Pelodiscus sinensis: one gene and its partners. The protein of the gene in region 3 interacts with the protein of the main gene of each other region in a pairwise test. Links are inferred from orthologs where the notes say so. Each region holds a gene or a part of one and is shown on either strand. Other genes may lie near its edges.

Region 1 (7,358 bases), on a different chromosome or scaffold from region 3:
AACGCAGCCTAAATACATCAGCGCTTGAAACACTGGAACTGGAGCACAGTCCCCGCCGCGATCCGCTAACCCTCTGCCAGCACAAGAGGACCTTGGAATCAATCCTGGGTTCCTCCGGTGGCTGAGAATTCGTTTCTGCTTACTGATTATTTTCATGCTATTTGCTACCACTCGTTGCCTCGCTTACCGCAGAGTTTGGTTCCAATTCCTCCCGTGAACTTATGGGCAGCCTGACACCACGCTTTTGCTGGAAGAGAAAAAGGGCCGTGTATATTATCGGGAGCCTTTCATACCCTCCTCTCGAAAACGGCGTGGCGCAAGTGTCCTGGGCTGCTCCAGACTGGACGCCTGGATTGGCCCCTTGTGTCTAACTTTCCCAACTCGAAGCGCAAACGCTTTCCGGGCAGCAGAGTATGGCTTTCCTAACGTCCCCATGACAGCACAACCCTTCCCCTCCCTCACCCCAAAGAGACCCCCCCAGCCAGATAAAAGCCCCCTGGAGTAGACTCAGGTTTATGTTGGCGTCGCTCCTTCCTGTCCTGGAGAATCCTGCGGCACCTTGGTCCAGTTCGAGCTGCAGCGGAGGAGCCTTTACAATCAAGCCTGCAACCCAGCCCTGGGTCCCGGCTCCTTTTGCGAAGCCCGAGGGGAGCTTGGTTGCCCACGTTTCTCTTTGCCAGCGCTGCCCTGGCGGTGTTTGGAGTCTCCCCAGGTAGTTCTTTGTTGCCTCATCCGCATCCAAGTGCGCGCTCTGTGGCGGGTCAGGACCCGCCTGGGAGGAACCGGACAGCTGGTTTCCAGCCCGCTTGGCTGTGGCAGGGATGCGGGCGCAGGTCGCGCTGGGCGCCCACCCCGGGCGAGAAGCGGCTGGGAACTTAGCTGCGGTCGGCACGTGGTGGAGAACTCATCCCCCGCCAGAGCTGCTCCGCGCTCCTACCTGTGCCGGAGGTCTCCGCGTCCCCCGATCCCTCCTCCGCGCCGAAGGACCAAAAGCCGGAGCCTGGCGCTGCCATCTGCGGAGCTGCCAGCCGTGCCTAGGAGCGGGCGAGCTGCAGCGAGCTGTGTGGAGGGAGGGAGAGTCCCAGGGCGGGAGTGTCCCCGTGTGCGAGCGCCAGGCAGCGTGCGCCGGCGCCTAGAGTGTCAGCGGCGCCCTGGCGCTCGCCGGGGGCCCGGGAGAGAGGGAGGCTGGCAGCAGCAGGGCTGGGGGCCGGGCAGACCGGGCGCGCGCGGCACAGGGCGAGGGGCAGAGACGCTAAGCGCTCTCCATGGTGCTGAGCCGCTGCCTCTTCCGGCCCGCGCGTCTCGGCCCAACGGGGGGGCGGAGGGTGACGGGCTCTCTCCTTTTATCCAGCTGGAGCCCTCGGCCCGGGGCGCCTGGGGCGGGGAACGGCGGCGGGCGCGAGTCACGACTCCCCTTGGGCTGTGGGCTGCCGCTGCCTAACAGCGGCTCGTGGCCACGCACAGCGCGGGGCCCAGGCGTCCGTGTCCAGGCAGCTTCAGCGGGGAGTGGGGAGAAAGGCTCGGCCGCCGGAGGGAGGCATTTGGAGGCGAGAGGCTGGCCCGGGGCACGCTGAGGCGCACAAAGGAACTGAGTTGGGGCAGCCTCGGGCTTGCGATCGGTCCCACGCACGTCTGGCCGGGGGGGGGGGGGGGAGCGGGCTTGCCTGACGGGGTCACACACATTGCAGTCAAGGCGCGACGGCGGGTGGCTGAGCCAGCTGCTGTTTTGGCGTCAGTGTGCGCCGGAGGGGAGCGGCCGTCTGATCTCACACCGCTACCGCGGGGTAGGTGGGGGATGTGCCTAGAGCCTCGGCTGTTCCTATGTCGCCCTGAGTCTGCTCACTGCTTTACCTGGGGCCCAGCCCCGTGCCCGCGCGCCGCTCCTTGGCTGTGGCTCCAGAGAGCGGATGAAATGGCCCCCTCCGGAACCCGCCACAGCGCCAGGCGGTAGCTGCTGGATTGCTAATGAGGGGCTCTGCGGGCCCGGGCTCCCACACGTGCCATTGGTTTGCAGGCCAATGTGTCTCTCTCCTGTGCCAAGGCCAGCGCAGCGGGGTAGCCAGCGAAGTCGATGCTGTGGAACAAGGAGGCCGCTCTGGCTCCAGGTCACACCCCGTCTGTCTCCCCGCAGTGGCTGCCGGGCTAAGGCCGATCAAGCTCCGCGAACCCCCCCGTGCTCTGAGCTCGTCCGCGGAGCGACCAGAGCAAGGGCTCGCCTGTGCGCGACGCCAAGCGAAGCGGGCAGTGGAGCCGGGCCAGGCGGGAGCCGAGCTCCAGGCCTGCAGCTTCCTAGGCCTGGGCCCTGCAGGACCGTCAGGGGGCGCCGCGCCGGAGCGGCCTGTCCAGAGCCCACCCGCGCACCCCTACTGCATCTGGGAACAGAGATACAAGTTGGCTTGATTGCAAAGGCCTAGCCGCATGCAAACCAGTCCTCACTGCAGCTCAACCATCTACCCCGGCCAGGCGCTGCCTGCCTCGGCTAGGAGGGGGAGCTGGGGTAAAGCAGAGCAAACCCTTCGGACCGTCCGTGGGGCAGGAAAGCGCGAGCCCCGCCGGAGGCAAGGCCCAAGCCCCGCGGCGAGGGAAGCGCTGAAACGGCCTCGGAAGGAGCACTCGCTGGTGCGCGTCGGGGCGGCCCGGGAGCACAGAGGGCGGCAGGGGCCGGCCCTGACATTACCGCCGCGCTGGGAGCAGCGGCTCGTGGCCTTGTGCAGCGAAACGCACGGCCCATTGCTGGGGTGGCTGCTCCCGGCGCCCCCTCCCACGTGCTGTATGCGAGGGGCTCGGGAAAGCGAGCCCGCCCCGCTGCGCTGCACAAAGCCGCGCCAGCAGCTCCATAACTGACGTCGTGGGGAGTCGCGCCCAGCTGGGAGACCGGCCCAGGCAGCGCTGAAAAGCCCGGCGTTGGTGGGTGGGAGGCGCTGCTCCGCTCCGCTCCCGCAGGCGGGGTTTAGGCCATGGCAGCCCCTCGGCTTTGCAAATGCCGAGGCCCTTCCTGGCTGGTGAAGGGGAGCAGGCGGGAGGCCAGCTTGGCTGGAGGTGGCAGCCCCCTAGGGTATGTCTACACAGCGAAGTTATTTCCGGATACCAGAGGTATTCCGAAATCGCTACCCTGCGTCTTTTGAACCATCTGCTCTTTTGAAATATGTTTTGCCATGTCTGTAAACCTCATTGTACTAGGAGTAAGGGATGGCTCCAAGTAGCACTGTATTTCAAAATTTGGTGCTGTGTAGATAGCACCAAATGACAAAATAAGCTATTTCAAAATACTCGAAATAAGCTGCGCAATGTGTACAGCGCAAATTGCATATCTTATTTCGAGTTTTGGGAACTGTGTAGACGCACCCCTAGTAATCCAGACCACGCTGCTTTCCCACTGGGTAGATGCAAGTTGGACAGGGTGGCTGCTGCAGGCTGGAATTGCATCTGGCTGCCGCGGGCATGGACTAGTGCCTCTTCCCAGCTTGCTCCAGGCCTTTGTCCGTTCTGCTTTGCGCCCCCGCCACGGGTTTCTCGTGTGCCAGCTGGAGCTAGCCTATGCTGGCACCAAGTCTGTAAAGATGGGCTTCTGGGGTGCGCCTACACAACAGGGCTTAACTCAAAATAAGCTACACAAATTGAGCTACATCAATTACCAGCTTACTCTGAAATAGCTTATTTCGAAATTGGGAGTGTCTACACAGCACTTATTTTGAAATAGAGCACTCTTCCTCCAACTTCCCCTATGCCTCATACAATGGGGATTACAGGAGTCAGAGTAAGCAGTCCTTCAGCTTGACAATATTTCAACATTATTTTGAAATAACTATGTGCTGTGTAGACACTAAGTTATTTCAAAATAACGCTCGTTATTTTGAAACAATGTTGCTCTGTAGACGTACCCTAACAGGTCATGCCAAGGACCTAGATGAACCCTCTGCCCTTCTGCACCATTATCATAGTGTGACTAGCCCTGAAGGATGCTGGCAAACAGGTGCCTTAAGAGAAGGCAGTGCAGAGTGCCCACTTTGCAGGGGAGAGCCAAATTGTAGCAGCTTTTTGGGCATCTTCTTTCCCCTACTCTTTGTAGATACAACCACTTAGTGTGTGTAGTAAATGTCTTATCTTTTCTCTCCTGTGCTCCTTTGTTGCACTAGCACCTCGCAGGGCATGGGAAGCCTGAAATTAACAGCCACCATCCGTTCTCTTTGTGGCAGTCACAGACACACACGGTGGGTGTTACCTAGAACCTAGTGTTCTCTAGAGTCTGCCCTCTATGGGGCAGACACAGCTCAGGCCCAGCTTATTTAGGCAAGATGGAGCAGCCCCGGCCTGCAGAGGGTAGTATATGCCCACCCTTGATGTAGTTCTTGGACAAATGCAGCAATACAGTTTAATTAGTTCCCTGTGTACAGACAGCTACTGACAGGAAGACATAGGGCTTGCCTCTTACTTAGTTGGAGGGATTGCATTTAATCTAATCAACCCAACTAACATCATGATTTCTCTGTACACATCCAGAGCAACTCTTGGAGAAAACTGGGATGTGAACAGGAGGGAGAAATGGGGATGGTGCCAGGGGTGAAGGGTAAGGCTGCCCTTCGTTGATGGGGCTCATTCACCTACTACTCAATCCAGTGGAGGGTATAACTGCACCTTGACTTGCCCCCACTCTCTTTTGGTTGACCTGGATGTTAATACATGCAGAAATGCTACTAACTTCATACTAGGCACAGTGCCTTCATCAGTTCAGAAAATGGCCGGCCACCCACCCATACACCTGTGCTAGGAGTAATTAAAACACAGCCACACCTGTCCTGATGTTTGTACTGTTTGTTTATTTTGCCATTTTAATAATGGAGAGAGCAATTTTAAGAGGACTTTAAAAATCAAACCCAGTATTTTCTAGCACATATTACACTGCAGAAATTTAAACATGGCTTTTAATCTTTTGACTACTGTAAAAGTACAAAGTACTGATTACATGTCTATGGAAAGAAGGCTAAATTAGAGTGTCGAGCATGGCTAACGACAGTGTGTGCAGACATCTTTACTTTGCTGATTTACTCCCACCAGAAATCACTGTAGTGGAACACCTGGCTTGAGTAAGCCACCAGGATTTGGCCCTTACACTGCTCAGAATAATGGCATGGTGAAATCTGCCATTCTTACTTTGTAGCTAAGAACATGCAGCTATTAATCACTGTCAAGCATAAAAGTTAATGTTCTAGTTATTTACATCCTTTCTCTAAAATAATTTATTTAAAAATAAGAATTTGGATGAAATGTTGAACATAATGGCTATGTCTTTTGTATATAGTACAAATACACTACTGGTGGAATTGATTGATTTAAATGGTCTTTGCATTTTAGGCAACAATAGTTCAATTCACATTTTCCTTCCCACTTCTCAGGGCCTCTAAAATTAAGGGTTCCAAAAATTCAATGCAAATTTAGAAAGGAGTGCGCAAAGTAAACAGAGTTAAGAGTTCACCATTTAGCCACAAAGCTCAGGGGTAGAAGAGGGCATTATGGTTATATTTCCCTGTATATAAAAATATTTCCAAGGTATAGAATATATAGAATACTAGCACTGGAAGGGACCTTAAGAGATCAAGTCCATTCCTCTGCCCTCATGGTAAAGGTAAATAATATATGCACTATATTGACCTTTAAACATCATTCCTCAGTAGCTTTACCACAGTTAAAGTCAATATGAAAATAACATACTATCAAACAACAATTTACATTTATTTGTATTAAGAGGACATTTGTCACATGCAGATTTGGCCCAAAAATTAGGTATTGTAGACCTAAAATCAAAATAAATGTTTCTTTTGAATTCTTTAAAGGTGACTAGTGAAGTAATCATTTTGTGCGTGTGTGTTAGCATTATGTCAATTGACTAGGAAATAACCACAAGAAAAAGAGAAACTGACTATTTAGTATGAAATGACAGAAGTGTAAAAAAGGAAAACTATATACAGGGAGAAGTTTTTGAAAAATATGTTCCGTTTTAGTAATCGAAAGTATATTAATATCAATTTTTTAAAAATATGCATTTTTAACTTGACAGTGTCCCTTTAAAACAGTGTTGGGCTGGAAACTATGGTAATTCATATTAACCATAAACCCGAAATATTAGTGATAATGATACAAAAAAGAATATGGTACAAAAATCATAAAAAAGATTAGACTAATAAAAGCCAAATGGCAGCAGCAGCTAAAATTGCTGGATAAGGCGCCGGCGCTGAGAGGTTTTCCGCAAGAGCTTTCTGTAGTCATAGGGATTATCTTCAGTATTGCTCTCGTCCAGGGGGCTTTCTGCAACCCTTGACCTAAGTATTAAATGCAGAAGTGCTTTAGAAATTAAAGTCAAAACATTTACCTACAGCAAACACTGCTAATTGACTTCTTAGCCTTTACCCTTAGCAAGAACAGCTGCCTTTCCAAGGCCTCTCCTGACTGCAGAATAGAGCTGGCACTCCAGATCAAATACATTGTAGCAGAATAGAGGAATGTTCAGAGAAAATATGCTTTTTCCAAAAAGGGGGGAATTATTAAGGACATATTAAAATAGTCAGGATAACAGGCAAGGCAGCTTTATTAATAGCTAAATCTTGCCTATTAACACTGGATCAGATTGTCAGCAGGTGTAAATCAGGTAGCTTCTGTTTTACACTTGCTGAGGGTCTGTTACAGTATAGACTCCATCTAACATTTTTCAGGTGGCAAGGGGCATTTTTGAAAGCTAGTCCTCAGTATACCTGTTTGAGTGAACTGAGGTCATTGCTGTGTAATGAGATTAATCATAAAACTATTGTTTGGAAAGTATATATTGTTTTGATATAAATACAGAAACATCTGGTGAACTCCATGTAGGAATCCAGGACTGAGTTCCAACTGCCAACAAACAAGTAAAGGCATTCACTTCTCTAGGACTAAATTGTGCTCCCCTTACTTACCCAGGAGCTTCAGGGTATAGCTGAGTTAGTCCGTTACAGAAAAAAACAGCAAGCAAATGGTCTGGTAGCACTTTATAGACTAACAAAACAACATCTTCCCCCCTTTCCCTTCTCCTATTTATTTCAAGTTTTCTTATCCTCTAATCATAACTCCGGTGATCTGAAGAAGTGGGCTGTGCCCATGAAAGCTCATGATACCACCTACATGTTTTGTTAGTCTATAAAGTGCTACCAGACCATTTGCTTGCTGTTTTTTTACTTACCCAGGAAGCCCAACTCAAGCACTGAATATAGAACTGTAGTTGATACTTAAATAATAAACCATGAACAGGGGCTAAATTATGCTCAGTTACATGCACCCTAGATCTGCAGTTACGCCAGTTACTGCAATACAGTTACTGAAAACTGACAGCA
Region 2 (7,979 bases), on a different chromosome or scaffold from region 3:
CCCAGTATACACATCCTCCCCATCCCAGTTTCTACCTGCTCTGGGGAGACTCCTACCCCCTCCCTCCCATACCATAGCAATTCATGATTGAGGCTCTAACGCAAGAGTGGCCAACCAGTTAGACACGAAGAGCCAAAAGGGCAGTGGATAGTAGTGCAAAGAGCTGCACATCCTTCCCCCAGAGCCAGACCCCTGCTTCCCCCTAACACAATGCCCCCCCCAACCCAGGCCCCCCCTGCAGGCCCCTCCCATTCTAACCCAATGCCTGGGTCTCACCGGAGCTGCCACCACCACAGCCATGCACTTCTCCCTCCAGGAACTGGGGCGTGTGCACAAAATGGGCATGTGGCTCCGAACGAGACATAACCCTGAGAGCCGCATTTCTGTGAGCAAAGAGTCGCATGTGGCTCAAGAGCCACAGGTTGGCCACCCTACTCTAATGTAGCCATGTTGCAACTTTTGCTGGGTGGGTAGGAAAATTCACCCTGATCTGCTGTTTCCTCATACCTACCTCACTCTTTAAAGGCAGACATTTTTGACAAACCCATCTCGAGTTTTACTCCCCAGAAACTAGTTTTGCTTTGAACTAGATGATTTTATTAAACCAGGTATAACCCAGAGGCACTGAAACCACTAACAAGGGAGAGTAAAGTCTGCTCTATAGCCTGAGCTGAGAGGCAATCAGCTTTTAGCTCATACTAGAGGCACATGGCATTAGCCCCTAAGGTTACAATTCAATCCACCTGTCAATGACCCTGGTCCGTTTGAATCAAAATTTAAACAAGGATTTACAGCAACCGTATGGCCTGTGTTATACAAGAGATCAGACTTCATAATCCTAGTGGTCCCTTCTGGGAATTTATGATTTGGACATTTTTTGAGCTTTAATGAAGCCTTTGCATTCTGAATTCTAGTAAAATTTTGGCTTAAAGTTTTCACTGCACCTTCCTTTCCCCACAAAAAAATCTGCTCCAAAGAGTTTCAGTTAGACACCCAGCACCCTGAATTCAAACCCATCCTTATAATTACAGTCCAGGGTTAGATTCAACACCTCACGGGAACTTCTTTTCCCAGGCAGCTGATCCCAGGCAGCTGCAGTTTCATGAGAATAGTGTGTTAGGTTTCATTGTCATTGAATGAGCTCCCAATGCTGGCCTGGTCTCTAAACCCACAGACAAACACCTCCCTCATGGCTCGCTTGCGTGTTATAGAAGAAATGCTAGAACAGTGGTTCTCCACCTTTTGTACTGATGACCCCCTTTAACACAACAAAGCCTTGGGATTAAAAACCACTTTTAAGAACACTGAGCAGTGTTTCTCAGGGTGCTGCCCCCTTATAAATTAAGAACCACTTTTATACATTTTTGGCACCATCATAAATGCTGGAAGCAAAGTGCACTTTGGGATGGAGGTTCACAACTCCTGATTGTCTGAGTGATCTAAACCCCCAGTCTGAGAACCCCTAAACTAGAAATAATACACTGAAAAAGAAAAATAGGTATTTCTTCCCAATCACTGCTCGGATGAGCATCGGTCTCAACTGCACTGGTGGGAATTCAACAGAGATAATGAAAAAGCCATTCCCTTTCTGTAGGGCAGGTGGGATTTGAAAGCTTCATGCCCTTCTCCACCACCAATCCCACAGCCAGTTTTTAAACCAAGCATGGCAAAGAACCATTTCCAGCTCAATAACACAGTAGCTTCACTTTCCAGCCAACTGCACCGGACCAACTCACCTAATGCCCTCTTTGCCTTTGCCCCCTAGAGCTTGGGGATCCACACATTGTAAAGGTCTCTTCTGTCTGAGACCCTGTGCTTATGAGCATCACAGCTTTACCCAGAGGGGCTCTTGTTGGGTTGCAAGAAGGAGCATCAACAGACTTAAGCAAAATCAACTGCTGGGATCAGTAACATAGAAGGGGCTGGAGGAGACACTTGAGAGGTTTTCACGGGATCATCACTGAGTACATGATGGGGAAGGAAAGACTGGCTCAGAGGCTGGAGGCTGTACTGAGATACCCTCTCTCACTGGGCCCAAATTCACTGCTTCCAACAGAGAGAGAGAGAGAGAGAGAGAGAGAGAAAGTGTAGAATAATCTGGAGGCAGCAGCTTTTGTAAAGCAGAATGTAAAATGAGCCCCTGGCAGACCCAACTCAATTTTAAAACAGCCAGGCCTGTGTGACCCCCACTTTACTCACTGCTTCTGGGGCTCCCGAGCTGCAGGGATCTGCCCCAAGGACTGACCACCACACAGTGTGCAGGGGACACAGAGTGAGTTAGAGCCGTGTTTCTCAGGGTGCTGCCCCAAACTCTCCCTGACACAGCAAGCTGGTCCCAGGTATCAGGAAGGCTGAGAGACACCAAGTTAGAAGAATCAAAGAGATGTGGGCTGACATGCAGCCCAGGGGAACGTAAACATCAGATTAGCTGCTGGCACTTGCTTCCTTCCTACTTCCCCAACTGGTGCACGTCCCCCACCTATCTGCAAACTGCCCTTCTCCAGGCAACCTGCCCAGCTGCATTACCCCCTGCCTGCCCCTGGCTCCTACCCTTCCCAAACCGCCCGCCTTGCAGGGCATCTTCTCCACTGCTCACCATGCCCAAGCTGCCCCCCTGCGCAGAACACACTAGTGGCCACCCCTCACCTGTCCCCACGAGCCCCCCCTTGCACATCTGCCTCCCGCAGCTGGCCCTGAACGCCCCCCCCCCCCCGGCATCTCCCCCCTCCCCATCCCATCCTTGTGCCTCTTCCCCTCTCCCCTCTCAGGCTTTACCTGACCCGCTGAACGCCCCGGAGCCCCGGGCTTTTCCCAAGCGCAGCCACCAGCTCCCGAGCCAACAGCCTGAGCCAGGCGGCGCCAGCCATGGCGAGGTAGGGGGCGCTGCGCCCCACTGCCCAGCCCCACGCCACCCGCGACGGCAGCTCCCGGGAGCTCGGGCAGGAGGCGGCGCGCGGAGCTGCGAGTGCGGAACCGCCTGGCCCGGGGAGGGGCGGGGCGCGCAGGCAGGGCTCGGCGCTGAAGGAACTCGAGGGGCGCTTCTGGGTCCCTCCCCCGCCAGCTCGCCCAACCCCAAACCGCTCGCGCGCAGCCCCGGCCGCTGCTGCAGGCGGGGTCCCTCCCCCCCCCCCCCCCAGCGAGCTCGTGCAGGGCCCCAGACCAGGCGCGCAAGGCGAGCCCCCACCTCACCCCCTTGGCACCCCTCGCTCACAACACGCGATCTTTTCCCAGCCGCCTCTCGGGGCGCTGGAACCACTCCTATAGTGGGGGGGGGGTGCGGGGAGCCACTGAACTGCATGGGGGTCCGTTCAAGGCAGGGGGGTGCAGCAGCAGCAGGAGGCAAGCCCCACGACCGGGGCGGGGGGGAGTCTCTTAAAGAAGCAGGCAAAGCGGGGGGAGGGGGACAGGTTGGGAAGAGTCCGAAGAAAAAGCAAAGCAGTTTCCTAGAGGGAATAATTGGGGCAAGGAAACGGGGCCAAATGGGCCTGGGTAAAAACAGCAGGAAGAGCATAGGAAGCGATGGGTCATGTCCCGAAAAGCAGCCAGCACGCACTGTGGTGCTGTGTAAACAATAAAGTCAAGCAAGTCAGCTGGCTGCTTGAGAGTCTGCAGTAGCTTCAGCAACTCACGGGGCCCCTCACAACTTCACTAGAAGCTCTCTCCCACTAGCTTGAGCCTTACCCATTAAACCAGCCAGCTGCCCATCCTTACAGGTTCCCCCATCCTTGGTAAAATTGAGATGTCCCTGCCTCAGATGGAGACACACCTCTGGGAATATTGTTCAATCATCCTGCCAGAAATGGTATGTAATTGGAGCTCATAAAAATGCTGATTTGCTTGCAGTGTTACCTCTATTTTTTTCCATCCATGTGGAGAACAAATTTTGTGACCTGCACTGAGGCATATGTGTGGATGTGCACCACCAATAGAAACACAGTGCTGCTGGTTGTGGGGGCTCGGCTAATCAGCTGGATGGCATTTGAATCTTTCCTGGGTGGCTGCAAGGTTTGCCCTTCCTTAGGTGACTACCCCATGAGTGAGGAATAGGGTATGATTTGGCTCTCCAGAATCAATGCAAAGTCTCCAGCTCTCCCTCTGCATGTACAAGGACACACTTGGATTATATAATACACTCTTTGTATTTCTTGGAAGCAGCATGTGGACACTTGCAGCTGCTTCATCTCAGTGTGTTAGCTGAGTGGCGCTGCTGCCTTCCAGCTTGGTTCCTGTTGTGAGAAAACTTCATTTCCTCATTTGAACAAAGAGCAGATTTCCTAGTCCTGCTCCAACTCCCCTTCTGGGACATAGGCACAAGCTAAGAGAGAGATGTTTGGAGGAGCCCCTTGTTAAAATAAGGGCATCACGTCACTGCTCTGCACACAGAACAACTTTAAATTAATTGAAGGGGGAGGAATACAGAGGCTGAGAATTTCATAACTCATCTGTCTCACCACTGTCCCAAACTGTCCCTCTTCCCTGGACCCTGCCCCATCATACACAACCGTCCCTTACCTCAGATCTGTGCCTTTGTATCTACTTCTCTTACCTGTTCCCCAAGCTACCCCACTTGCAACCTAAGGCCAAAACTGTCCCTTTTTTAATGTTGTGTTAGTCTTCAAAGTGCTACCATACTATTTGTGGTTTTATAAGTTTATCATTTTTTAATATTTGTCCCTTCCCCTATTCTCCAGACTGGCTCTCCCCTAACATCTGCCTCTCTCCATCTAACCTGAAATAGCCGGCCCTGAACTTGGCCTCTCTTTTGCAGAATCACCCTTTCCCTGTAACTTATCAAATGTCCTTCAGCCTGTTCACATTACAAGTGCTGTGATCACCGCCCAAACCTCGTGTCAAACATGCCATAGTAGTGATGCATCTCCCTGCCCATGTGAGCCTGTGCCTCGGGGCCCAGCTCCCTGTATTGCTTCACGGGATAGGAAGAGTAGTCAGGTGCTGCACAGCTACTTCAAAAACACCAGAGTAGCATCACCACACCTACGAGACCAAGGCAGCTCCAGACAGCAGCCCCTGAAAACAGAGGTACCCAGCTCTCTGAAGCACCTAGCCCCAAGGAGAAAACAGTTTTGGGCTTATAACATAAACCTGTATGCAGGAATTTCTGGAGGGGCGTGCTTTTTTTTGTAAATGTGGACAAGAGTGTGAATGCACCCCCCCCCCCCCCATGGTCTCCCAAGTAAGCAGGGAAATCAGCCCCAGACTTCCCCTGGCTGGTCAGAGCGCAGCGCTGCTCCTGCCTTCCTCTGGCTGGCCGGAGCATGCTTACTTAGGAGATCATAGGGGTGCTTTTGCACCCTTCACACCCTCCTGCATATGGGCTTATAACAGTAGCGCTGAACCTTAGGGATGACGGGTGCTGCAAAAATTGCTCTGATTCCCATGGTGCCTATGCTCCACAAATATTCAGGAATGTGGGTTCAGCTCCACCATTGTTTGGACCTATATTTTCTGAGCCATCCCATCCATAGGACAGACCGGAGCAACTGCCCTTGGCCCTGCATTTTGGGACACAGAAACCAGGATGGCCTGGGAAGTTAGCAAGGGACCTGGCACCAGTAGTAGTGACCCAGATGCAGACCTAGCCCTCCCTGCTCCTACTTTACCCCTTTCACCAATCTCCTATCCCATCCCGCCTCCCCTCTGCCCCTGGCCTGCTCCCACCTCCCCACCTCCACCCTTTCCCCCAAGCCCTTCCCCCTCCTGCCCCTGCTCTACCCTCATTTCACCCCTTCCCTCAAGCTCCTGCCTAGCCTCTTTCCAGCTTCTACCCACTTATCCAGAGAAATGCCAGCAGCTGGCAGGGTGGGTCCGGCTGCTGCCAGCACCAGGCCCCACCCACTAATCTTCCAGGTCACCCTGGATCCAGGTCCATTGATGGGGGGGAAAGGGCAATTGCCCTGGGACCTAGCAATTCAAAAGTGCCTAGGGCTCACTGCCACTGCTACCAAAGGAGCAGCAGTGGCCGGAGCTCCGAGCCCTTTAAATCACTGTTGGAGTGCCATGCAGTGCACTGCAGGTGGCTCTGAGAGATGGGGTTGTGTGGCATGGCATGATCTGGGTAGCACTGAGAGCTGGCTGTCCCAACCCTGTCTTCTCCACCCGAGGCCTAGCCCCCTTCACCTGAGACCCTGCCCCTTCAAGGAGCATGGAGCCAGCCCTCCCAACACATGCACATACTTTGTCCAGGTGCCCAGCAAGTCTGTTGGTCCCCCTGCCTAGAGCCTATGTCCCCCTGAAGCACAGAGTCCCCCCCCCAAAGCGGGGGCTCACGACGGTTGCCCTGGTCTGCCCTATGATGACTCTGCTTGGACCCATTCTGGGCACCACTAAAAATTATGCAAACTTGCCATGCAGGACTGTCAAATGACAGCAGCACTCACTGGGGGCTGGCATTTCAGTATCAGCCAGCACCATGCAGACATGAGAATTGCCAAAGCCCAGGCAGCATTAGGATAAAGTTTCACCACAGTTTTCTGGGGGGTGGACAGGACTCATATGCAGCAGCCTGTCTGGCCCTGCAGCCCCTTTCTGATTCAGTCGCTCAGGCTCGCGCACCTTGAGAGACTGCTCCTGCCTTCACTTTCCTCTTGCAAACTCAGTGATCTGCTGGCACCGATTCCTTCAACTGCAGGCTGGAGTTCCACTCTATGTCACTGAAGATGTACGGAAGCAGAGATGTGGCAAATCCTAAATACACCCTTTGATAAAGTAGGACAGAGCTATGTGAGGGCAAGTGGCAGGGACTCTGTCTATACCAAAACAACAAGGAGTCCTGTGGCACCTTAAAAATTAACACATTTCTTTGGGCATAAGTGTTCATGGGCTGGAGCCCACTTCATCAGATGCACAAAGTGGCAACTTCAATTTGGCAGGGATATACACATGCAAAGATGGGAGTGTTATATTACTAGGTGGAGGACTAGTGCTAACAAGGTCAATTCAGTCAGGCTATGTCTACACTGCAGGCTTTTTGCACAAGAACAGCTGTTCTTGCGCAAAAACTTGCAGAGCATCTACACTGCACACGCGTTCTTCCACAAGTATATTTACATTAAAGTATCAGAAAAGAGGGCTTCTTGTGCAAGAGTTATTCCTCTTCCCACAAGGAATAAGCCCTCTTGCACAAAAGCTCTTCCACAAGAAGGCAGTGTTGACAGGCAACAGGGGTTTCTTGTGCAAGAAAGCCCTATGGCTAAAATGCCCATCAGAGCTTTCTTGCACAAGAGAGCATCCACACTGCCATGGACGCTCTTGTGCAAAAGCACATCTCTTCCACAAAAGCACATGGCAGTGTGGACGCACTCTTGTGGAAGACTTTTTGCACAAGAACTCTTGCGTAAAACAGTTCTTGCGCAAGAAGCCTGCAGTGTAGACGTAGCCTCAGGGTGGATGTGGCCTGTTCCTAAAAGTTGAGAAGAAGGTGAGATTCCCAAAGGAGGAAAATTACTTCTTGCAGTGAGCTAGCCAGTCCCAGTCTCCATTCAGACCCAGGTAACACACCTGTCTTTCCATGTGCAGGCATCCCTGCCATATTGAAATTTCCACTTCGTGCATTGGACAAAGTGGGCTCCAGCCCACAAAAGCTTATGCCTAATACATCTGTTAGTCTGTAAAGTGCCACAGGGCTTCTTGGTGTTTTTGCAGAAACACACGTAGAATCCTAGCGCTGGAAGAGACCTCAGAAGGTCATCGAGTCCAGCTCCCTGCCCAAAACAGGACCAATCCCAACTAAATCATCCCCACATGAACACATCTTCTCTGAAACTTAGCTATAAAAAACCTGCCTACATTTCTGAGAGCCTCTGTCCACTTAGCTAAGTAGTGAACAATTAGCACTTATAAAAATCATTTTACATCTTTAAAGTACTGTACACACAATAACTAAATAATGTTACCGAGGGGCACCAGACTATGACTCAAGAGACCTGGGTTCTATTTCTGGTTCAGTGGCTGATCTCAAG
Region 3 (7,415 bases):
TTATAAATTTCTCTTATCTGATCTTCTAAAAGAGACAGCGGGGCGTTGGTATGATCATATGCTCCCAATGCCAGTTTTAAACTAGGGAGTAGACCTTGATAACACATCCGTCGAAATTGAGGAGTGTCACAGAAGACGCCACCCCCCTGACCATTCTGTGGGTTAGATAACCAAAATAAGGTCCTTTTCCGTATAATATAAGAATCAGGTTTCTCTCCTATCTTTTGGGTGTCTGAATAAGCTTTTCCCATCAAATCCTCTTGAGGGAAATAAACTTTGTAGACAGCTGTGAACAATTCTTTAGGTTCTATATTAGGATTACCAATCACCTTGTAAGGCAAAGCCAAATAATCTTCGACTGGCATGCATTCTTTTAACAAAACAACAATGTCCTCTGGGCTCAGATTCGGGGTAGCACACACTCTGGCAATCCAGTCTACTACCTTTTCCCTGTTACATGGCCCTATAGTCCTTCCCAAAGCACGAGCTTGTTCTGGAGTTAACACTCGCTGTTCCTGTTTTATAACAGGGCCTGGTTGTCCAGGATACTGCACCCTAGTTGTGGTAATAGGAGCCATAATTGCTAACTCCTTACAGTCCTCCCCTCCTTGATACTGTGGAGGGGGAGCAGAAGGAAAACAAGACTCCTCTTCATAGTCTCCCAGCCAATCCACCTGATGGTATTTAGGTTGGATTGCTGCTATCACTCCTTTAGCCATCCCTAACTGTTGTTTTAACTTAGCAACCTCTATCTGGCACTGTGAGTGGTCCCCAGCAACCTTGGAGCTACTAGCCTCCTTTAGAAGCTGTCTAATAACTGCTTGGTTATCTGTAAGCTGTTCATTCTGCTCTAGTATGGTTCTTTCCAATTTACTTTTCTTTTCTTCCAATTCCATCAATTTACTTTCCAAACTAGAATTTTTAACTGTTAAACCTTGAACTTGGGAGTCTTTAACCTCTAATTCTGATACCTTCTTTGCTAATGCATTCTCTACCTCTACTAGATGATTTTCCTTTTCATTATCTCTGGCTTTTAGCTCTTTAAGCTGTGAGGCAAGCTCTTTGCTTGTCATTGCTAGCCCATACAGCAGTGCCCGCTTTTGGTGTTTACGTTTAGGCTGAGGTTTTGCTCCCATATACTTCTCCCATAGGTTAGTAAACTTTTCTAATGAATCTTCCCCTTTAAAGGACCCATCCACCCAGGGATTAGCTCCCGTTCCATAACTATTTACAAGCATATTCAACAGACAATTTATTGTACGCCGGTTTCCATCCCTCGGTGCCGAAAAGCTGCGGTGCTGCCATGGCTGTAAAAGGCTGCTTACCCAGCCTCCACTAAAGAAAACCAAGACACCTGGTTATAGCAAGGCTTGACTGCTCAAAGCCTGCCGGAGGTGTCTTGCTAGAAAACCGGTACACAAAAACACCCAACAATAAATGCTACAATGACAGAGGAGTAGTTATATTGCTTCGCCTAAAAAGCAGCAAGCGGCAAAGGGGTTTAAAACCCGGAAGTAGGTCCGCGGCCTACTCCAACCAACTGCTCCCGGGGATTGGGCCTAGGCCTTGGCCAGCCAGGCTGGGAGCCTGCTGCCGTATGGTGAATCGGGTTCCAGAGGGGCGTCCCCACTCTGCTACTCCCGATATCACTCTCTGACAGAAGAAAAAGGGATAGGGGCCCGGGGAAGATGCCACCCCGAGTCACTGGACCGTATCTCGTTGCTTACTGTTGCTGATGTTTGTCTCTGGCTCCACTCCTATAAGTGGGAGTGATCCTAGGGCCTGGCGGAAACCAAAGCTGTTTCTCACCAGGTCCTGCCGCGGTCGCCAAACTGTTACCCGGAGAGCTGGGGTAAACAATTGCTGTGCTATGGGCTATGCAATTTAATTAAAGCCTAAGGTGCCCTCCCACAGAAGCCAGATTCGGCCTGGTATCCTGTATCTAATCACCAGGGAAACAGCTTAGAAATCACCAAACAACAAGAATTTAGGGCCAAACCATGTATTTTAAATGTAAGACCAAACATTAGCAAACAGCATACAACTCAGCAACAGTCCCACCCTAACCCTGGAAAAGAAGAAGATAGAAGAATCCCATACACACAAGGGTATACATTACATTCAACGCGGCGATTGATGTTCGATGTCCGTGACCTTCAACCTTGCGGCTAGTGAAAAGCCTTAAGGAAGGACAAACGGAGCGATCCCTCGATGGATACTTCTCGCCTCCTGCGAGCTGACGCTTGGTGGGCACCGGATCCTGTCCGAGTATCCGTAAGCGAGACAGTGTTATAAGTCCCAAAGTCTTAGTGGGAGCGGAAAAGGCTTCCCTTATTCCAGTTAACGTCACTAGCAGTGGGTAGTCTTGTCAGACTGCAGGCTGGAACCTTGGCCTCCTCCGGGTAGACGATGACACAGGGCAATGATGATTACAGACGCACACACAGGACATGAAGGGGGCCAAAGAACACGAATGCTCTTTGACAAGGGTATATAAACATCTCATGGCGGGAAAACCATGAAGAGAGCGGGGTGCAGAGAACTAGAGCTGGGTGCATAAAACTTGGGTGCCGTGTGCAGAGAATGGGTGCACACACAGGCAATTGGGCGGTGTTCACAGCCTTTGGTGCTGAGTGCATAGGTTTAGTGCTGGGTGCACAGCTTTCTTTTACCTGTTTTGGCGGGAAAACTGCTTTGAGGGAAAAAGAACCCCTCAGACTCCATTTTGTATTATGCCCAGGCAACAGTACTATCTCCCTTTTCGCTGGAGGTAGGTAGTGGGGCTTCTTGGGAGTAGGGGGAAAATGGGGGGGTCTGGACGCCTTGCGATCGACTGATCAATCACGATCGACCTGTCGGTGTTGGCTTTAAGTGGTTTAGCTGACATTCAGACCATTCATGTTCCTCTGTTGGCCTTCCCTTTAGCTTCATCCATTACATCACTGTCCATAGATGCTTTTCCATTTACCAGAAGCAAAGGGACTGCACCTACTACGACAAAACTGTGCAGTGTGTGCCAGAACGGCTCTGTCCACACCATCCCCCGAAGTACTTTCTTGAACTTTGCATTCCTGAGTTATGTGTTGTTCCCTAAACGTTCTTGCTGTAACATCAGAGGATGTTGTACTTCCCAGAAGCAGCTGTCACCATCCCCAACTTGCTTTGTCTTTAATTCCACTCTGCTGTTTTCTTTTCATTTCCTTGTGCCTAGTCCTCTTCTGGGCTGGCCGTAGTGGTAGTTGCGGCTGTGCCACTATGGACCAATGTCTGTGAATTGTTTTTGTGCATATGGCAACTACTGTGGCAGGCCCCTGTAACCAAGTACCCACTAATAGGGTGTTGAGAGGTTTGGCATGCAGGCAGGGGCTCACAGCTGGGACAGAGGGTTGGTTGGGGGCGGGGGGAAAATGAGGTGGAAGCTCAGGGAGTGAGTTTGGGTATTGGAGGGACTCTGGGCTGTGGCAGGGGGTTAGGTGTGGGATGGGTGCAGGGTCCCAGCACCACTTGGGACACTAATGACAAATCAGTCATTTTGGAGGCAGGGATGCAGGTCAAAGGCTCAAAACAAAGGGCACGCTGAGCAGAGAACCTCAGACCGTGCCCACTGCTCCTCAGAACTGCCTAGGAGCCAGCAGACTCTGTTAAGAGGATCTCTGCCAAGATACGTGCAATCAGGGAGGAGTGGAAATAGGCCCCATAGTTGCAGAGCATGCCCTCGTCCAGCAGCCACCTCCTCGTGTGATAGATGGGGGCCTAGGCCAGAGCCAGGCCCAAGGAGGTTGGGGTGTGTATAAACAGAGATGCAGGGACAAGGGCAGCCAGACGCTCAGCAGGAGGTTCTGGGGGAGCTGGAACAGGCGCTGCAAGCTGGCGCTCTCGAGGCAGGCGTGTACCAAGGTCTCTGCTGCGGCAAGGTCAGGAATGGGGGTGAACCACACAAGGTACACGCCTGCGTGAGGCTCTGGGAAGGAGCCGCCAACCCGTGTCCCCCAGGGGCCCTGGGATCAGCAGGGTAGCAGCTGACCGGATGTTTAATGGCCCAGGCTGCCATGCCTGGATGGAAAACCTGTCAGCTGTGAATGGGGGAGCCCATAGCTGTGGGCGCTGATGGTGTCATTCCCGCACCCACCGCTGGGAAACGGAGGCAGCTCTGAGAGCTTCTCATCGCCCCCCAAAGGAGAAAGCCCCGCCCCCATTTTCCCTTCTGCAAAAGCTGTACGCTGACGTCACAGGCCCAGCGACCAGTTAACGGCTCTCGGCTGAATCTGATTGGCCGTTGCCTGTGTTCAAACAACAACGGCAGCAGGCTCCCGTAGCCGTTGGGCGAGGAGGGGGCTCTGCGATTGGCCTGACCCAGCCCTTAATTCGGCCAATCAAATTGGCGGGCACCGCGTTGCGGTGGGACCAGCAGTTTCCCCCGCCCCTTCCAGAAGCCGAGTCTATAAGGCTGCGGGCAGGCGGCCGGGCGGCTGCTGCGCTGTGTGAGGGCTGCGGCGAAGGGCTGGGCGCAGCACACGACTAGACGCAGTCGCCGCAGCTGCAGCGTACAAAATGGCTGAGGGAGACAACAGGAGCGCCAACCAGCTGGTGAGCGGGTGTTGCGGGCGGGCGGCCAGCCGGTGGCGGGGACGTGAGCGTCTGCGGCCCTGTGCGCCAGCATCTAATCGCCGGGGAGGGACCGAGGGAGTCACTGCGGCTGCGTCTCCTTCTCCCCACCCCCATTACCTACACGCGTCTTTAGCGCGCCCAGCCAGCCGGGCGCTGCGAGCACCGAAAATTGACCCCCTCCAGCCTCCCGTAGCGAAGGGGTCCCGTAGCCAATCCTGCCCCTTTCGCCCGCTTCCGGGAGGCGGGGCCTGCCCTGTGGGCCTGTGGCAGGGAGACATCTGCCCCCGGCACACTGGGTCAGGAGGGGTTGGGCAGCCGCAGGCCGGGTGGGCCCCCTGTCGGCCCCCACTGCCGCAGTCCCTCGTGGCACCATTGGTCGCTGCACCCGAAGGGCTTCGCCCTCTGACACGCTTGTGGGGTTGGCCACTGCCCGCTAAGAAAGGGGGCTGGGGTTAGCTCGGCTTCCAAACAAACGCCACACGAGGCTTGGGTCATTTGTGCGTGGCCCAGCCCTGGATGCAGTTGTAAAATCAGACCGCTATTTGCGTAATCTGTACTGGGTTGTTTTCTGCTCTTGTCATCTCTCAGCGAGAGCCTAGCGGCCTTTTCTTCGGCCTCTTCCTGTTTCAGCGGATTTCGGTGCGAGGAGCTTTTTGTGAAGTAGACAGCAGAAGGTGCTAGGTAGTTGGTTAGGACAGAAATAAGGGATGGATTTTATATCTATATCTATGGAAGAAGTGAAGACTTGATGGGTGGTGGTACCAGAACAGGGAAAGGATGGATATACTTCCATTCTGTTGAAATTTTAAACCAAACTGAGAAGTAGTTTGGAAATATATTTTCTACCTGTATTTTAAGACTCTTCAATTTACGCTATTTTAAAAATTCCAAATGAACAGCCAATAAATTGAAGGAAGGAAATTATTTCCTTAAAATATAGGAAGAAATAGTGAGACTCACTAGATGTACGTGCTGCCAAATGTCCAAACTAAAATAAAAACCTGGAAAAACCATTTGAATTCACTTCTTAAAAGAGAGCTGAAACAGTAGTCAGATTGAGTGTAACTTCAGTGTACATTCTCATTGCCGAGGTATTCTCTAGTCTTGAAGGCTGGTGGCTTAACCATGAGTCCTGCCACCCTCAGCTGCAGGCCAATATGATTCTTAGCCAGCAGATAGAACAGAAGGTTTATTACTTGACAGGGATACATCTTAGACTAGGGATGTGAAAGTGTAACCGTGTACATGATTACACACAGGCTTCTGGAACATGCAGAGAGCTGATACAGAGGCAGCAGTGAAGGGATGGGGTGGGGAAAGCAGGCTCCTTGCACACACTGACTCCCAGGGATCCAACTGCCACCTCACGTGTAACTGCTGAAAATGTCAGCGGTTAGTTACTTATATGCATTTTAACATCCCTAGGACAGACTTGTCAGCACCTAAACCAGAAGCAGTCAGCACAATCCAGTTGGGGACAGGAGGCTCAGAGCCAAGGCCCCTGTACCCTCAAACCACTGAGACTAACCCATCCACTCGGAAGCCCACCCCCACCCTGCAGTTAGCCCCGCCTTGGCCTTTGTCCAGCTTCCTGGCAAAAGGTGTCACCAGGTTACACCCCCAGCCCTTCGTAGGCTTAGGTTACAGAAAGCATCAGTCATTGTGTGCAAGAAAGAGATACGGAAATTCTCATCACTATCTCTTTTTAGGTATTGGAGCAGTGCCCAGGGAAACTGACACACACACACTAGGGATGTAAGCCACTAATCAAGTCACGCAGCAAAGGTGGGGAGCAGGAGCTGGTGCTGCAAGGAGATAGTTTAAAAGCTGGCTCCCTCCAGCAACATCTCGGGGGGGGGGGGGGGCAGGGCAGGAGAGGCAGAGGCGCAGCGGGGGACCGGGTGCAAGCCAGGACTCAGCTATCCCTGCTTGTACTTGGTCCCATATGCTGGGCCTTTGCCTCTTAAATGTATCAAGAGCCTAGTGGAAATTCCATCGACTACTCAGTTTAGCGGATTAAACGCAATTTAACATCCTTAACACATACACGGTTTATTGTAGGATAGTAGAAATCACATGCGACATAACAGTGGATACAGTTACCACTTTGTCACAGTGTTTAACCCATTTATTATTGTTTATAGAAGAGCAGAGGGTTTTCAAATGCTGTTATAAGGGACCTTATTTAAAGTGATATCCCAAAATCTCTTTTAAAAAATGCTTCATGTACATTTCAGAAAATGCATGGGAAGCAAAATGTGCATGCTGGTTTTGAGCTCTAATAGTGAATAAGACTTTCTAATAATCATACTGGTATGATAAGTTTTGTTTAGTTGTATGCAGTGACAGTGTAGTTAAGTACTGTATGCTGGCACATAGCTCACTGATTTTTATTTATTTTTTTACTAAGCCTAGCTTTCAGCTGCACAATTTGAGTTGCTGAGATCTTATCAGTGAAAGAGACACATGCTTTGGTCTGCTGCAATACGTGCAGCTATGGGGATTGATGAGATAAAAGGGCCAGAGACAAATCATCTCTTCCCCCCCACACCCCCCTGAGTATGAGCTCCGTTTGCACTTCCTACCCTATGGGGATTTTTCCTTTTATCTCCTGAAGGAACTATGTATGCCATGCCTCTTGAGTCCAGACTGCCTGGTGGATGAAATGTCTGTCTGTCTTGTCTGTCTGAGATTAAGGAGCTCGCCACCTGGTTTTTCAGCAACAGAACTGGCTAACTGCAATTTGAGTAGTCTTTAAACATGCGGAGCCCCAGTGCATATTGCCTATGTTTACAGGCTTCATGCGG
Region 4 (7,287 bases), on a different chromosome or scaffold from region 3:
CGATTAGTTGATAGGGCTCCTACACCTTTGAAGTGTAGCAACATTGTTGCTACACTTCAAAGGTGAAAGCCCAGAAGCCTGGGTCAACTGCGGACGCCCCCAGCTGACAGCAGGTTCTGTGCAACGCTGCTGCTGTGAAGTACCCCTCTTTTCTCCCCCCTTTCCCTCCCCACTGCCTCTATCTGATAGAGGCAGCAAGGGGGAGCAGGGAGAGAGCAACTAGTCAACTATCCTGTTGACTATCCGATATTTGCTTATCGGACAGTCGACTAGTTGACTAATCCTTCACATCCCTAAACCAGAAGGCTGCATAGAAGGGAGGCCAGTTTCAAAAACATTTAAGCCAAGTAGAGAAAAATATGCCCAAGATTGAAACCAGCACTATTCCACTATCAACAGAGTCACTTCTTCAGGGAAGCTGACACACTGAGTTTCTGGACCAACACTAGTCAAAAACAAAAGGACACACAAAGCAAATGAGGATGAAATTCTGATCCTATTATACAACGCTGATAATGGTGCAATATGAATAAGACTCTGAAAAGCTATCCCAGGACACACAGAATAATTTTTCCCAATTTAAAGAATACACTTCAAGGCAGCACAAACCAAGTATTTGTGTTTACAATACAAAAGGGAATGGTTTCCAACAATATTAGAAAAAGGTGTTTTCTAAGCTGAAGTTTAGAATAGCACATTGTTTAACTTTTTGTACTTTTTTTTTCTTATTGAAGAAGTCGATGGGTTTTATTTATACACCAATTTGCAAAACTGGAGCCAAAGTTGCCCAAGTTGTCTGAAGCTGTCAATTTCAAAACTGTCTAAAGGGCAAGAAATGTTTGTTTTTAAGAGTCTCTTAAGTTAGACTAGTATCAGAGGGGTAGCCGTGTTAGTCTGAATCTGCAAAAGCGGCGAGGAGTCTTGTGGCACCTTATAGACTAACTGAAGTGTTGGAGCATAAGCTTTCGTGGGCAAAGACCCACTTCGTCAGATGCCACTTTTAATTTAGACTAAAGATGATATTAGCAACAATTACATTTAAATATGTTGATTTTTAACTGAAGACGGATCTTTAAAGGTCCTGGAATTTGAAGGGGCTTTTATATTTCCAATGCCCAAAAAAAGCAAACAAGGATTGACGAAATTCAGGCTTGACAAAGGAGAGCAAAACCTACTTAAATATCTCAAGAATCACTATCGTAACTGAACACTCTGTTCACTGCTCAACTTAATGGTGAGCTACTGTTTCTCAAACTAACCATCAAGCGCCCCTCGAAGATGCGGCCGTGTAATATGACATAAGGAACAGCAGCAGCCTCTCTCCATTTGTGGCAAGGGAAAGCCCAGACAACCCAACCGAACCGTTTGCCTCATTAGCCCATGTTTTGTTCTATATTAGCTTTCCTGCAGCTAGGCGAAGGGAAGCAAGAAGAGGCTGACTCATAGACTCATAGACTCATAGACTTTAAGGTCAGAAGGGACCATTATGATCATCTAGTCTGACCCCCTGCACAGTGCAGGCCACAGAATCTTGCCCACCCCTCTTAGAATAATCCTCTCACCTATGTCTCAGATATTGAAGCCTTCCAATACTTTGAAGGCCCCAACATGCAGAGAGTCCTTCAGCTGTGATCTATGCCCAATGCTACAGAGGAAGGCGAAAAACCTCCAGGGCCTCTGCCAATCTACCCTGGAGGAAAATTCCTTCCTGACCCCAAATATGGCGATCAGCTAAACCCTGAGCATGTGGGCAAGACTCACCAGCCAGACACCCAGAAAGTTCCCTATAGCAACTCCTATCATCCCTCCATTGACCTATTTCCAACTGGAAATGAATGGTCAATTAGTTACCAAGATCATGTTATTTCATCCAACCATCCCCTTATAGAATCAGAACTGGAAGAGACCTCAGAAGGTCGTCAAGACCAGCCCTCCGCTCTAGGCAGGACCAATCCCATCTAAATCAACCCGGCCAGGGCTTTGTCAAGCCGAGACTTAAACACCTCTAGGGATGGAGACTCCACTACTTCCCTAGGTAACCCATTCCAATGCTTCACTACCCTCCTAGTAAAATAGTTTTTCCTAATATCCAATCTGGACCTCTCCCACCACAACTTGAGACCATTGCTCCTTGTTCTGCCATCTGTCACTACTGAGAACAGCCTCTCTCCATCCTCTTTGGAACCTCCCTTCAGGAAGTTGAAGGCTGCTATCAAGTCCCCCCTCACTCTTCGCTTCTGCAGACTAAACAGACCCAAGTCCCTCAGCCTCTCCTCGTAGGTCATATGCTCCAGACCCCTAATCATTTTGGTTGCCCTCCGCTGGACCCTCTCCAAAACAAAACAAACGTTCACGTGAGCCGGCAGCTGGGAGAGGGAAGAAAGGGGAGCAGTGGCACCTACTGAAGCAACCGGCCCGCGGGACCGCAGATAAGCAGTTTGCACAAAGCTAAGAGGGCGACAGGGATGTCATCGCACGAGCGATGGGGCGCAGATACCAGCTGTTACTGAGCATCTGTCGCAGGTGGGAACGGCCCGGGGACAAGTGTCAACACTCCCCTCCCCCACCGACGCGCAGCCCGGACTCGGGTGCCCCTCGGGCCAGAGTCTCGTCCCAGGCCACCTGCCCCGGCTGCTCCCGCCTCTCATGAGCCGGACTTTGAGACCCCCCCCGTCAAGTGACGGGCCCCTCGGGGCCGACTCCTCCCGCCAGTGCCCGGGCCCGGCCAGCTCGGACGCAGGCGCGGGCGGAATGTCACAGCCCGTGACCCCGACCCGGCGCCCATCCCTCGCCCTAGCCAGGCCTTGCCCCGACTCGTCCCGCGCGCCCTGGCCACGGGGGTCACCTTGGCGGCGGCGGCCCCGAGCGACGCCCGGCTGCTGTTGTGCCTCAGCCCGGCCGACACTCGGCTGCAGATCATGGACGCCGCCATGGCCGCCGAACCCTTTCGGCTTCGCTCGCCACCGCGCAGGCGCGTCGCTGCGACCATAGAGCGCTAGAGGGAAGAAAAGGCCAGGGCTCCGCCTCTCTTGACACGGCGTTCCCCGAGGGCAACGCCCAGCGGGGAAACTCTATGGTCTCTCGGAGGCCCCCGAGCGCAGCGCTGCCCCCTACCGGGGAAACTAGCCACTGCATGAACCCGCCCGCCTGGGACCGACCCCCGCAGGAGCGAGCGGAGCGCTTGGGACGAGTCTCCCCCCCAGGGACGATGGCTTCACGGAGCCCTGACCCGAGGCCCACTGAAATCCGTGGAAAGCCCCCCAATGCTAGTTGCCAGGTGTCCTGTTACTGAGTGGAACGCTTGGTGGAAACGGGGCCCTTGCAGCTCCAGTCAGCACCTCCGACCAGGAGGTACCAGTGCGGTTGGCAGGGGCTGGCAGCATGGGCAGAGGCAGTGAATAATGAAGGCAAGGGAAGGCGATGCCTTCCCAAATGGCTATGAGGGGCCCCAGCCACCCACCCATGCCTGGTCCTTCCTACCTTCATGCAGGCTACTCTAGGGAGCCTGCTGACGCTGGAACCACCCAGAGCTGGGGACTCCTAGCACTGGGGCTGTGTTGCCACATGCTAGGGGAGAAAATAGAATGCCTTCAGTTGATGGGTTGCTGAGGCTTGCAGCTCGATGGGGTGGGGGTCGGGTCAGGCCAAGAAGGCTGGGACCATGGGACTACTGGACTTCTCCAGGGGCTAGACCTACTATAATCTTTCCATTATTTCCAGATAGTCTTGATTTAGTATATCACATATACCAGTAGCTATCTCTATAATGAAAGTTCATTATTTTTATTTTTTAAATTATTTTTTACCACCACCAGATTACTTGACTGTGGACTGTATACAATACACGCACACAAACACAAAAATAAAATCTCTGACAAAGAGTTTACAATCTAGGCAGGTAATTCTGCAAATACTTACATGTTTAACTTTATGTGAATAGTTCCATTAACAGATCTATGTAATAGACTAAATGCACTGGGAAATTCAGAGCTGAAAATAGTGTGCAAGTTACTTGGAAGGAGCATTTTTCTCTAAAAGTAAATGTGAATTAAGAAAGGGAAGTGGGTTGGCAAATTATGATGAGAAGGGCATTCCACATATAGCACTAAAGAAAAATGTACAGGGATCAGTTTGTTTCCATAAATTATGTATTCCAGTGCTAGATCTAAACTGAAGGAAAGAAGTATTGGAATTGTAATTAACTGATGCAGTTAGCAATTGAAAATGCACAATAGTAAAATAACAGGATGGATTGCATTTTTTGCCACAGGCAAGTCTAATGTGGATTAAATCAGCTTTTGCTATGGCAACTACCGTAGGGTACACAGTGACTGCTGCTTAATTGTTTTGCTGCTGGCACTCCACTGTACCTGATGTGCTGTCATTATCCATTAACATTTTGCTGAACTCAGTAGAATGCTAGGATGCTTCTGGTATTTCAGAACCTCAAAGAATGGTTCTATATTGATTGTATTTGTACTCATTACATGGTAATGTGTTGCCAAAATTTCAGCAAGGCACCCTCAAAAATTGTCCAGCTCAATAATATATACGGTAGGTTTTTGGTAAAATACTCTTCTTCCCTGAAAAAAACAAGAAGTCCAGACTCTTTCCCCACCAAAATCTATCAATCCTTCCAAAGCTGCTCCTCCCATATCAATGAACCCTTCACCATGACCTCTCACTAGGTGTCATTCTTCCCCATTATAAGTCAGTTTCTTAAAGTTTCAATAAGTCTTTTCTCAGAAGGGTAAGGGCAATGTACATAGGGAGACACAGGGTACTGGATATAGCACTCCCTTCTGGGGAAAGGTAGGAAATATAATAATAATAAACGAGTTTGGTAGTAGTACTCATGCTGGGAGGCAGTACTTGGAATATATATAAAGGAAGGACACAATATTGGGAATCTAAACCTGGGTTATATCTTGCCTTAGTCACTTAGTCATTATTGTGACCTTGGGCAAAAACTCTCCATGCCCCATCTGCAAAATGAGGCTAATAATATACATTCATCTTTGCTCAGGGCCTGGAGATTTTTGGAAGGTAAGCACTATTTAACTACAAATGAATCTTAGTCATGATAATGTCCCCCAAATGGATGATCCATGTGACGCTGAGGTGATCACTGACACATTCCACGTTCTAACATGCCTGGACACCATGGTGAGGAACCCTACAGAGAGTTTTGATTATTTTTTTTCAAAGTGACATTATTAAGGGCACAAGAGCAAATGTTTCCACTACATAGGAAAGATAAGAAGTCTCGCAAGAGACCATCCTGGCTTACCCAGGAGATCTTGAATGACCTAAAAATAAAAAAGGAGTCCTACAAAAAGTGGAAACTAGGTCAAATACAAAGGATAAATATAAACAAATAACAAATATGTGGGGGAATGGTAATTGGAGATGTGGATTTAACCATCAAAATTTACAATGAAGAGCTAGCGAGGGTAGATTGATTTGAATATCTTGAAAGCACAATAAGCCAATATGGTATGTGATCTGAGGAAATAAGAATAAGGATCAGCAGAGAAAACACCTCCTTTGGTAAACTTAGGAACATTTGGAAACTTAATACTGTATCCTTCCATACAAAACTAAGCATCTACTCAATTGTCATTGTAGTCATAGCAACCTATGGCAGTGAAACCTGGCAGCTTAACAAAACAGATACTCAGAAGTTAAATGTGTATTATCATAAGTGCTTGTGGAGAATATTAAGAGGAAGCTATGAAGAAAGAAAAATGAACGATGAGGGTCAGAAAAATGGCTAAAGCAAGGTCTCTGTCTCAAATAATTGGTAAGAGAAGACATCGATGGCTACAGTATGTGTTACTAATGGATCATAACTAATTACCAATTATGGGTTTCAGTTGGAAGCCAAAAAATCCAACACAAAAGAGGGGGTAGACTTAGGATGACATGGAAATGCACAATTATCAATGACCTAAAAAAATTTAATTTGAAATGGGAGGAGTTAGGTCATATGGCAGCTGATAAGCAAGCATGGAAAATGTTGGTAGCTCAATGTGCTGAAAAGCATGGGACGGTCTAAGGATGTACGGGCAAAATTAGAAAGGCAAAGGCACAAAATGAGCTCAAACTAGGCTGCTCCTGCCAACCAGGCCCTCCAGTTAACCAAAAAAGGGCAGGGTGAGATGACAAAGTTTGCAAATGAGAAAAAATTACTCAAGAGAGTTAAATCCAAACCAGACTGCGGTGAGCTGCAAAAGGATCTATCAAAAATGGGTGAATGGGAAACAAAATAGCAGATGAAATTTGGTGTTGATAAATGCAGAGTAATGCACATTGGAAAACATCATTCCAATCATAGATACAAAGTCTTGGGGTCTAAATTAGCTGCTAGCACTAAGAAAGAGATCTAGGAGTCATTGTGGATCGTTTTCTGAAAACATCTGCTCAATGGGCAGCAACGGTCAAAAAAGCTAACCAAATGTTAGGAAGCATTAGGAAAAGGTTAAAAAAGAAAACTGTATCACCACTAAGGGTGAGGCTTACCAGTTAATCATTTACATCCCTAATTCATAGTTGAAGAACTTGCAGTCATGTAACTGGCAACATTCAGGGCTTCTATACCATCAAAAGTACAGAGGTTTTAGCCAATTTATCTTCTGAAAAAGAACGTCTCCAACTAAAAAGGACAAGATTATACAATGAATTGCTGCATACAGCATCAGCTGTGTTTGTTAATGCTGAAATATCACTGAAACCAAGAACTGAAGCAGAATCCTCCTTTTGACCAGTGCCTCAACTGGACCACACTGAGAATGCCACACTCAGGGCAGACTGCAAGTAACATGGTGGACACCCCCCCAAATAATGGTGATTTATTTTATAAATAAATTCCAAACAAGTGCCAAAATAGTTTCTGTAGCATTACACTGGTTAACAAGACAGCAGTTTAGGCATTCCAGCTTTTGGTTCCCATCCCGATAATCTGGTTTTATAGGATGAGAGGTTAGTGAAAAGCCAGTTCACTGTTCATGAAGTTCTACCAATCTCAAAGGATCAGACAGATCCTACCCACATATTATACCATCAGCCAATCCTTAGTAACTAAAAATTTATTAACAAAAGACAAAGTTATCAAACAGCTGAGTAAAACAGGTACACCAAACTTGCTCCTTTGATCAGTAGTTACATTGTTGACATCTTCAGCGCTGAGAAGCCTTTAATCACGGGTGGAGAACCTCAGGTCCAAGGGCCAGATGTGGTTCCCGTCTTGCTTGGATCTGGCCCCTGCAGCTCAGAAGCTCCCCCAGT

Evidence for each region.
Region 1: the proteins of ARL6IP1 (region 3) and GAD2 interact in binary tests that used the Homo sapiens proteins (3 or more experiments, as listed by UniProt). The two-hybrid records come from large-scale screens. The link is inferred for Pelodiscus sinensis from reciprocal best matches to the Homo sapiens genes ARL6IP1 and GAD2.
Region 2: the proteins of ARL6IP1 (region 3) and ACSF2 interact in binary tests that used the Homo sapiens proteins (3 or more experiments, as listed by UniProt). The two-hybrid records come from large-scale screens. The link is inferred for Pelodiscus sinensis from reciprocal best matches to the Homo sapiens genes ARL6IP1 and ACSF2.
Region 4: the proteins of ARL6IP1 (region 3) and SUCLA2 interact in binary tests that used the Homo sapiens proteins (3 or more experiments, as listed by UniProt). The two-hybrid records come from large-scale screens. The link is inferred for Pelodiscus sinensis from reciprocal best matches to the Homo sapiens genes ARL6IP1 and SUCLA2.

What each region holds. Positions count from the first base shown.
Region 1 is NC_134712.1:225,581,945-225,589,302, reverse strand, and holds the start of GAD2 (glutamate decarboxylase 2), read right to left. Parts: upstream 3,007-7,358; 5' UTR 1,014-3,006; coding exon 938-1,013; intron 248-937; coding exon 188-247; intron 1-187. Other genes in the region: MYO3A (myosin-IIIa), read right to left, coding at 6,203-6,317. UniProt on the Homo sapiens protein: Catalyzes the production of GABA.
Region 2 is NC_134730.1:14,006,061-14,014,039, reverse strand, and holds the start of ACSF2 (medium-chain acyl-CoA ligase ACSF2, mitochondrial), read right to left. Parts: upstream 3,013-7,979; 5' UTR 2,868-3,012; coding exon 2,776-2,867; intron 1-2,775. UniProt on the Homo sapiens protein: Acyl-CoA synthases catalyze the initial reaction in fatty acid metabolism, by forming a thioester with CoA. Has some preference toward medium-chain substrates. Plays a role in adipocyte differentiation.
Region 3 is NC_134726.1:20,312,450-20,319,864, reverse strand, and holds the start of ARL6IP1 (ADP-ribosylation factor-like protein 6-interacting protein 1), read left to right. Parts: upstream 1-4,398; 5' UTR 4,399-4,551; coding exon 4,552-4,587; intron 4,588-7,415. UniProt on the Homo sapiens protein: Positively regulates SLC1A1/EAAC1-mediated glutamate transport by increasing its affinity for glutamate in a PKC activity-dependent manner.
Region 4 is NC_134711.1:288,709,839-288,717,125, forward strand, and holds the start of SUCLA2 (succinate--CoA ligase [ADP-forming] subunit beta, mitochondrial), read right to left. Parts: upstream 3,005-7,287; 5' UTR 2,990-3,004; coding exon 2,846-2,989; intron 1-2,845. UniProt on the Homo sapiens protein: ATP-specific succinyl-CoA synthetase functions in the citric acid cycle (TCA), coupling the hydrolysis of succinyl-CoA to the synthesis of ATP and thus represents the only step of substrate-level phosphorylation in the TCA.